3 linked regions of the Sus scrofa genome follow. Each later gene encodes a partner of the first gene's protein in a complex. Links are inferred from orthologs where the notes say so. Each region holds a gene or a part of one and is shown in the gene's direction. Other genes may lie near its edges.

Evidence for each region.
Region 2: UPF3B (region 1) and MAGOHB share a complex: the UniProt entries of both Homo sapiens proteins name them as parts of the mRNA splicing-dependent exon junction complex. The link is inferred for Sus scrofa from reciprocal best matches to the Homo sapiens genes UPF3B and MAGOHB.
Region 3: UPF3B (region 1) and MAGOH share a complex: the UniProt entries of both Homo sapiens proteins name them as parts of the mRNA splicing-dependent exon junction complex. The link is inferred for Sus scrofa from reciprocal best matches to the Homo sapiens genes UPF3B and MAGOH.

The regions. Positions count from the first base shown.
Region 1 is NC_010461.5:98,189,136-98,192,635, reverse strand, and holds part of UPF3B (regulator of nonsense transcripts 3B), read left to right. Parts: intron 1-656; coding exon 657-817; intron 818-1,148; coding exon 1,149-1,443; intron 1,444-3,500. UniProt on the Homo sapiens protein: Involved in nonsense-mediated decay (NMD) of mRNAs containing premature stop codons by associating with the nuclear exon junction complex (EJC) and serving as link between the EJC core and NMD machinery.
Region 2 is NC_010447.5:61,428,699-61,431,612, forward strand, and holds part of MAGOHB (protein mago nashi homolog 2), read left to right. Parts: intron 1-677; coding exon 678-788; intron 789-2,914. UniProt on the Homo sapiens protein: Required for pre-mRNA splicing as component of the spliceosome. Plays a redundant role with MAGOH in the exon junction complex and in the nonsense-mediated decay (NMD) pathway.
Region 3 is NC_010448.4:158,991,172-158,994,671, forward strand, and holds part of MAGOH (protein mago nashi homolog), read left to right. Parts: intron 1-439; coding exon 440-498; intron 499-2,147; coding exon 2,148-2,258; intron 2,259-3,500. UniProt on the Homo sapiens protein: Required for pre-mRNA splicing as component of the spliceosome. Plays a redundant role with MAGOHB as core component of the exon junction complex (EJC) and in the nonsense-mediated decay (NMD) pathway.

The DNA.
Region 1 (3,500 bases):
GTGTGTGTGTGTGTGTATATATATATATATATATATATATATATATATATATATATGACATTGAGCAGAATTCCTATTCAGTAGAGATGGAACTTCACAGTTCTGTTATATGAGGTACTTGGATTTTTAAAACAAATACCAAGTAATTCTTGCTTTTCATCTCTAATGATAATATGATTATACCATTATAAGTATGTTACTGCTCTCAGACTCAAGGCAAGATTATTCCTGCAATGGATCTCTCCTTTGGTGGCCAAGGTATTTGTCATTCTAATTACTACATGCAAATAGTCCAACAGTAATGATCTGCCTAGCATTTGAAATTTGTGGCATATTTTTCTGTCAAGTGATACTTGGAAGTGTGCACTGATTTACTTAAAAGCTGACCCATTTAAGGCCAAAGGAGTCTTGATCCTATTGCCACAAAGTGATTAAACCACTTTATTTGAGTGGATAACACTTTCACATTAATAGCATCCTTTTAGCAAATTACTGCTCTCCTGCCCTAGTTGTTCACTTGAAAGTTTAAGAGTACCTGCAGAGATAGGGGCCTTCTTTAGCCCAAATTGAAAATATTTAGTATATTGTTTTCTATGGCAGAATCAGAAGACAGTGTCCCACCCTTCAAAATAAACTTAAATTTGTTCTCTTTAAAGCTGCTCAAGAAGCCAGAAAAAGGAGATGAAAAAGAATTGGACAAAAGAGAAAAGGTCAAAAAATTGGACAAAGAGAATCTGAGTGATGAAAGAGCCAGTGGGCAAACTTGTACACTGCCCAAGCGTCCTGATGGTGAATTTAAAGATGAAAAGCCTAAGAGGTCGGTAGTCGAGGGCTCTTTGGTACATTTGTTTTTGATATGTTTCTAGGTGGCTAGTTTTACTGCTGTGTCCTGGACTTGTACCTGAATCAAGATTCCCAGTTTTACGAGGGGTAGGGGAATGAGGAGGACAGGTTTCAAATATTTTAGCATCTTAATCTGGGTGACTGACTTTTGGGGTGTTTGTTTTTCAAAATACTAGCATTTTTTTTTTTTAATGCTGCTCGAAAAGTACCACCTCATTGTAGTGGCCAGATCAGGATCAGAGTGTTCCTGCATTTGTGATTCGAAGATCTTCGGGGGTGCATTCTCAGATTTGTTTTCTGTGCAGACCTGAAGATGAGAGCAGCAGAGACTACAGGGAGAGGGAGCGGGATTATGAGCGTGACCAGGAGCGCATACTGCGGGAGAGAGAGAGGCTGAAGCGGCAGGAAGAGGAGCGCCGCAGGCAGAAGGAGCGCTATGAGAAAGAGAAGGCTTTTAAAAGGAAAGAAGAAGAAATGAAAAAAGAGAAAGAAGCACTTCGGGATAAAGCCAAGAAGACTGAAAGTACAGAACCAGTAGGCAGCTCAGAAAAAACTGAAAAGAAAGAAGAAGTGGTTAAGAGAGATCGCATAAGAAACAAGGTGCTGCTTTTTGTTAAACTTGTTCATTTTCGTGAGGATTTTTTTTCTCTTCCTGCAAGTGTAAAAGAAAGGGCTAACTTTTTGCTTGTTATAGAATTTTTAAAGATGAACTTTAACTGCACCTTTTTTTCATTCTTGGTGGGGGTCCTTTTACTAACGTACTGTAGAAATTTCATACACACAAGTAGAACAGAGGAACAACATAATACCTGTCACCCAGCTTCAACAATTATCACCTCATGGCCAATCTTCTTTCCACTCTATCCATCATACCACTTCTGGATTATATTCAAGCAAATCCTAGACAGATCATTTCTTCTTTAAATATGTCAGTATTAAGAGTAAAGACTTTTTTTGGCAGTGGTGAGCACCAGCCTGATGTGGGATCTCAGTTCCCAGACCAGGGATTGAATCCTGGGCCTCAGCAGTGAAAGTACCAAATCCTTAACCAGCAGGCCACCAGGGACTTCCCTAAAGACTCTTCTTAATAAAATAACCCTAATGTCATTTTCAGACTAGGAAAAAGAATGACAGTAGTTCCCTAACATCTTACCAGTTCTTCAGATTTTCCCAATTGTCTCAATCTTTTTTTGTTTGTTTTTCCTTTTCTAGGGCCGCTTCCCTCGGTATATGGAGGTTCCCAGGCTAGGGCTGAATCGGAGCTGTAGCTGCAGGCCTACACCACAGCCACAGCAATGTGGGATCCAAGCCATGTCTGTGACCTACACCACAGCTCACGGCAACGCTGGATCGTTAACCCACTGAGCAAGGCCGGGGCTCGAACCCGCAACCTCATGGTTCCTAGTTGGATTCGTTAACCACTGCACCACGACGGGAACTCTTGTCTCAATCTTTTTTATAGGCTCTAAACAAGGTCCACAAATTATATTTGCTTGAAATGTCCTCTTAAGTCTCTTTTAACCCAAACAATTCCTCCTCCTTTTGTTTTCCTACCATTTATTTATTGCAGAAACAAATTTGTCATGTAGAGCTTCTAACTGTCCAGATTGGCTATTATGTCCCTATGGTATCTTTTAACATGTTCCTCTACCTTCTATGTTTCCTCAAAAACCGGCAGTTTTCTGCATATCTAGAGCAGAGTCAGCGAATTTTTGCTGTAAAGGGCCAGATGGTAAATATTTTAGACTTCATGGGCCATATGGTCTCTGTCACAACCAGTAAGTGTTGCAGGAATGTAGGCATAGACCAAATGTAAAAGAATGAGCCTGGCTGTGTGCCAATCAAACTCTATTCCCCGAAACAGGCAGCCCCCTCATCATCTCAATTTCCGGTGAGAATACCTCATAGGCGGTGGTGTGCAGTTCCTGCTGCATCTTATCAGGAAGCACATGTCAGGGTAGCCTTTAAGCAGGATGTTAAGACTGGTCAACACTAATCGTATTATGGTTGCGTGATAGGATGTCCTTTTTTTTTTTTGTCTTTTTTTGTTGTTGTTGCTATTTCTTTGGCCGCTCCCGCGGCATATGGAGGTCCCCAGGCTAGGGGTTGAATCGGAGCTGTAGCCACCGGCCTACACCAGAGCCACAGCAACGCGGGATCCGAGCCGCGTCTGCAACCTACACCACAGCTCACGGCAACGCCGGATCGTTAACCCACTGAGCAAGGGCAAGGATCGAACCCGCAACCTCAAGGTTCCTAGTCTGATTCGTTAACCACTGCGCCACAACGGGAACTCCCTTTTTTTTTTTTTTTTGCAAACCACTGAGCCATGATGGGAACTCCAAGGATGTCCTTGTTCTTAGGATGTTAGCTGAAATATTTATTTTTTATTTATATTTTTTTGCTTTTTAGGGCCGCACCTGCTGCACATGGAAGTTCCCAGGTTAGGGGTCTAATCAGAGCTACAGCTGCCGGCCTACACTACAGCCACAGCAACGCCTGATCCAAGCCTTGTCTGCAACCTACACCACAGCTCAGGGCAATAATGCTGGATCCTTAACCCACTGAGCGAGGCCAGGGATTAACCCACAACCTCATGGCTACTAGTTGGATTCGTTTCCGATGCGCCACAACAGGAACTCCTTATTTTTATTTTT
Region 2 (2,914 bases), on another chromosome or scaffold:
TTCTTTTCAAATGTTTCATTTTTTTTTTTGCATTAAGCCCATTTTCCTCCTGTCTGTGTTTTTATTTACATATTTTAAAGTACATTAAAGGCTGTAAAAAAGCAGCTAATTTGTAGATTGAAAAGGGATTCCAGTTGTAGCATCTGTAACAACAAAAGAAGCAATCTGAATATATTAAATTGTAGTCCCACATTTGAGCATATTATTTAATTTATTCATAACTAACTTTGTCTTTTACCCTATTTGTCATTTAAAACTAATTGATAATCATGACTTAAACACAGTATGAATTTTAAATAAGAGGTGCAAAAGTTAGGTGTGAGAAAAAGTTCAAAGTATCAACTGTGATGTGTATTTGTATTTTTCTCTGTTCACCCTGTAGATTTTGCATTAACCATTCTGAAATATTTGAGTCCATGTTACAAATGAAGAGGATAAGATTTAAAAAGGGACTAGGATGTGGAGAGGGAAAAATATATATTTAAAGGAAAGGGCAAGGGAGTGAAGAAAAATCATAAGGATGGATGATTTTCTCCCAACTTGTGCTTTTAGAATCAGAATTAAGGGTTTTTTTTTTTTTTTGATATTCTATTTGAATACTCAGGATTTGTAATTTTATTATTTCTTTCTGAGGTATGGGGAGAATAGACCCTGAAATTTTTATAACCTATTTTCAGGCTTATGTACACAAGAGTGTAATGGAAGAACTGAAGAGAATTATTGACGACAGTGAAATTACAAAGGAAGATGATGCTTTGTGGCCTCCTCCTGACAGGGTTGGTCGGCAGGTTTGTATTTAGTAATTCTTTATTTTTAAAATATTTATTTATTTATTTTTGCTTTTTAGGGCGGCACCCGAGGCATATGGAATTTCCCAGGCTAGGGGTTGAATTAGAGCTATAGCTGTGGGCCTATGCCCCTATGCCACGGCCACAGCAGCGCGGGATCTGAGCCGGCGTCTGTTGCCATACCACAGCTCACATCAGTGACAGATCCTTAACCCACTGAGCAAGACCAGGGACTGAACTCGCATCCTCATGAGTCCTAGTTGGATCATTAACTGCTGAGCCATGAAGGAACTCCCATGTTTAGTAATTCTTTAAATATGTAATAATAAAAATTGTTAGTATAATTGTTATGTTTCTCCTTATTTGTTTAGACTGGATCCTCACTGAGTTTTGGGTTTTCCATTTAGTAGGCATCTGGTAAATACTAATTTTATTTCACTTTGCCTTATTTTCTGTGCTACTCCTATAAGTAAAGGAATCAATGCATAGCTGTCAATTAATGCTTTCTGAACTTTGCAGCTGCCCCAGCTAAAGTTACAATGTTTTTCACACTATTATGAATCATTTCTATTGTAGGTTAATTACTTTTATTAGGAATAATAAATTCATAATTAATACAATAGGAAAAAAACACAGGTGTTTGTTAAATTTGAGCATTAGGATTCTCATTAACTACCTAAAATTCACTTTCTTCAGATTTATAACTTTGGAAATTCTTATTTGCCCCAGAGAGGGACTTGATTGGTTTCTTTGTTCAAACTAACCATTGCCTTTCCCTCTCATATTCCCTTCAGAAAAATTGATGTTTCTCAGAGGGCTGCTGAAGAACTCTGAAGGCCTAATTTCACTCTATAGAAAGACAGTTTGATTTCTGAATTGGGTCTTTTCACCTCTTGGAGAAATGAGATATGACCCCAGGAGGAAGAAACATTTAATTTCGCTGTTGTATATTCCCAAGGATTATACTGTTTAACAGCTCCTTTGACTACAAGAAAATGTGGAGAAATCTAACAGATGCTGACGCTCTGTAGCAGTAACTTAACACTTCTATTTAAAGAAACATTATTTAAGAAAGCAAAGGTAATAGTTATCAGTATTTTATGGGCTGTAAATACTTTTACAAAGTAAATTTTGATCTTTTTGTCTTATGCAAGTATGCATATGCATTAAAAATCAAAAACTATAGCAACAAAGCTTTTATCATCTCTTAGATTGAGGGAAACCCAGTGTTTTCATCTACTCACTTGATGTGTTCATGCGTTTTAATTAGTGGGGAGGATTACTCATGCTCTAGAAATTGTCTATTGAATCTTTAAGACAGACTTTATGACCGCTAGAGAGCCTTTGTTAAATCTCCATTTTGTGTGTGCTATGAACGGTGCTAATTAGGTCTTCTGATCAAGCGTATAGCTAGGAGTGTCTTTAATGGCATCTGTTAATTTAAACTGAAAAAGCTGTTAATTTAAACTGAAAGCAGTTATAACTTTTTAATTTTTCATTTTAGATTTGCAGATAAAATTTGGAGAAAAATTTATACTGTAATTTTGGCACGCCGGAAGCATCTGTATTATGTTGCATTTGTTTTATTCTTAATTGTTTTCTGAAGTCAGAAGACTATGAATTTCTTAGTCCTATGATCCAAGGTTCAGAAATTTGTATTATCATTTACTAGTGATTGTAAATATCAACGATTTTTTTCCTCTGCTTTGGCAGTCTTGAATTTCACAAAATTGTGCTAATAAAGCCTACCCTTGTCAGGGTTTTTAGCCTAATTTTAAGGATTACAGAGAATGTAAAGTCCTTGGCATAGGCTCTAACACACAGTAGGTGCTAAAGTGGTTCTGTTGTTAATATTATGCAATGTGTCTGTAGAGTCTGGTAGGAAGGATAAATGTATTTATCATATTTAAAGTAGACTTATACCCATAGTATTAATTTTTATTGACATTATAAAGAACATCCCAGTGTCACTCTGAAGTATATCATTCATTTGATTGTATCTTCTTTATGGCATCTCTGGAGAGCAATTTCTTTTTCATTTTTTCATTTTTATTGAAGTATAGTTAATTTATAAGGTTGTGATAATTGCTGTACCACAGAGTGATTCAGTTATACATGTACACACA
Region 3 (3,500 bases), on another chromosome or scaffold:
CATTTCAAGCTAATGAAGCTTGGACTTTGCTAGGTATGGGAAGATGCAAGAGTCTGGGCACATTGAAATCGTTTCTTTGATAAGCGCCTTAACCATTAGGGCTAATATCCTGTTTTCTCCATCCTGCATCCCCTCAGGATGCACCATGGGAGGCATGGGGGGCTTGGAGGGTGGTATGGCTGCAATGGTTTGACTTGACAGCAGCAACATCCTTTGTTTACTCTTAAGTCTGGTGACATTCTAGGTCCACAATAGCCTAAAGTGAAAAACTGGAAAGACTAGTACTGTTGAAACACAAAAGGTATAGATAGTGAAACTGTTAGACACTTTAAAGGGAAAGTTGCGATACATTTTAAGCAACTGAGGGTCTTGGTAGGCCAATGATGCTTTATTCGTATCTTTTTATTACATACTGAATTTGTTTTTTTTCCCTTCACAGGGAAATTGAGATATGCCAACAACAGCAATTACAAAAATGATGTCATGATCAGAAAAGAGGTAATGAGTCTTCTGAGAGCCTTTCATTCACTACCATTTAGCCTTTTGTCTTGTTTGTATTCTCTCTGGGAATATTATTGAGAGATAAAGAAGAGGAAAGTGTGGGCATATTTGTAGACAGCTTCTAAGTTTTTCTCAAACCTTCTTGTAGTTTATGTTTTCTTCCACAATACTTAATCAATTACTGGTAATCATTTGAAGTCTTGCAAATCTTAGTTTGAACCCTGAACCTGCTGCTTAGACTGTGTGACCTTGGGCATATTTCCTGGTTTAATTTGTTAAGTCTCAGAGTTTTTTTTTTTTTTTTCCTTTTCTTTTCTTTTTTTAATGAATTTTATTGTATTCATAATTGTACAATGATCATCACAACCCAATTTTATAGCATTTTCATCCCAAACCCCCCAGCACATCCCCCCACTCCCCAAGTCTCAGTTTCTTGATCTGCAAAAAAGAGAAAACCTACTCTCCCCCTCACTTGAAGTGTTTTTTGTTTCTTGGGATTTTTTTTTTTTTTTTTTTTTTAGGGCTGTACATGTGGCATGTGGAAGTTCCCAGGCTAGGGGTCAAATCAGAGCTACAGCTGCCAGCCTGTGCCACAGCCACAGCAACGCAGGATTTGAGCTGCATCTGTGACCTACACCACAGCTCACAGCAACACTGAATCGTTAGCCCAATGTTAACCCATTGGGCGAGGCCAGGGATTAAACCTGCAACCTCATGGTTATTAGTCAGATTTGTTTCCACTGCGCCACAATGGGAACTCCCACCGAAAGTGTTTTGGTATATTCCCTGGTACCTAGCACTCCATAGAGCTCTTTTAATTTGCATTTGAATGGGGACCGAGCACATGGGAGAACAGTTAGCATCATTGAATGCATGTTAGATGCCGGGCATAGCACTAGATATTTTACACCTGTGGTGTTATTTTAACCCTTATTCTAAGCCTGTGCGATGGGTGGTATTATATAGCCTTTTACAGATAAGGCCGTGAAGGCCCAGTTATTAATTATGGGGCTTGTTCAAAGTTACCCCTCTGGTAAGAGATTGAGCAGGAATTCAGACCTATGCCTGTCTCTGTCAAGTCCATGTGCTTCATTTTGGCATGAGTTCTACCCCATTAAGGCTTCATCACAGTTATTCTTTCCTTTTTGTCACTTCGCCACATTTGAAAATGTCTTAACAGTTAGTATATTTTCATACTATTATAATTAGCATTCAGTTTTATGTTCCCCACACATGTCCGCATCCACACAGTTTTTTTAAACATGAACTAATATGTAAAATGTATTGCAAATGACATGTCTCTGTTTTTCAGAAGTATGTTATTTACTTAAGAATAACCAGGGGTACTTATAGATTTTTTTGTTTGGGGCTTAAGTGTCAGTTTAGTAGGTAGGCAAAGGGCAGGTCCATTGAACAAGATGAGTCAAGAAAGAGAAACAACTAGGTGTGGGACTGAGGTGTAGTCATTTGGGCCCTTCTGACCCTGCTTTCTTGGCATGCTGAGGTCAAGCTGGAAGGTCTTCCCACTTACAGAGGTGCCAGAAATAAGTTTTCATGAGCAGTCTTTTTTTAATCTTTCACCACTCTCTGAGTCAGAATGCTGCTTAGGGATAAAATTTAAATGCTGCTTTTTAACTTGCTTTCAGGCTTATGTACATAAAAGTGTGATGGAGGAACTAAAGAGGATAATTGATGACAGTGAAATTACCAAAGAGGATGATGCTTTGTGGCCTCCTCCTGACCGAGTAGGTCGGCAGGTGAGTGTTTTACCAACTGTCCACAGTGCAGAAATCTTAACAGATAAGATGAGATTTATTGTTCTGCATGTGACATGGATGCTAGTCAGATTTGTTTCTGCTGAGTCATGATGGGAACTCCAAGTTTAGGATCTTTACGTTTGCCACAGGCTGCCTGGAATATTCTATTCCAGACTGTCTGTTATTGAGGTTTCAAGTGCATTTCCTCAGTGATGTCTTGCCTGTCCATTCAATCTAAAATGCCTTTCCCCATTAAAAAAAAAAAGTATGGGTTTTGTCTTCATAGCCTTTTTTGGGGGGGGGGGGCTGTACCTGCAGCATATGGAAGCTTCCAGGCTAGGGGTCCAATCAGAGCTGTCGCTGCCGGCCTACACCACAGCTCATGGCAACACTGGATCCTTAACCCACTGAGCGAGGCCAGTGATTGAACCCATGTCCTCATGGATGCTAGTCTGGTTCGTTAACCGCTGAGCCACGACGGGAACTCCCGAGCATGCATAGCTTTTATCTTTATCTGAAATTGTCTTGTATCCCTTTTTCTTCTCTACTACAACAGACATAGACATACATGTGCAAACTCCTTCAGTACAAGGATTTTACCTGTTTTTTTCCCCCACTGCTATATTTCTAGTGACTAAAATAGTGCCAGTGTATAGTAAAAACTCTATAACACTTATATTTATTAAGTTAATATGAAAACTCATATAAGCTTACTCTAGTTAATCTCAAAACGATGGGACAGCTCTTGAGGAAGAGTGAAAAAAGTCCATCCTCAGTGCTTAAGTTAACTTATTATGTCCATGAGATCTTAGTAAGACCATGTGGATGTATTTTGCTTTAGGATTGATAAAATTTTCAACTGTATTAATTCATTTAACATTCACAACTGTTCTGTAAAGAGAGCAAGGCATACTGCCATATACCAGCAACATCCTACTGGATAGTGTAATTAAAAACAAAATTCTATTCATAATAGCAACAAAAGCTGTAAGTAAAGTTGGGAGTAAATTTAACAAGGTGTACAAAACTTAAGGGGAAGAGCTTTATAGAAGGACATAAAAATATGTATCATTTTTATTGTTGGGAAGACTCAGTATTATATCAATTTTCACCAAAATAATTTACAAATTCATTGCAATTCAAATCAAAATCACAATAGTATTTTTTTCCTAGAGCCTAACAGAACATTAGAATTCATGGAAGAACAAAGGGGCAAGAGTAGCCAAGATAATTTTGAAGATT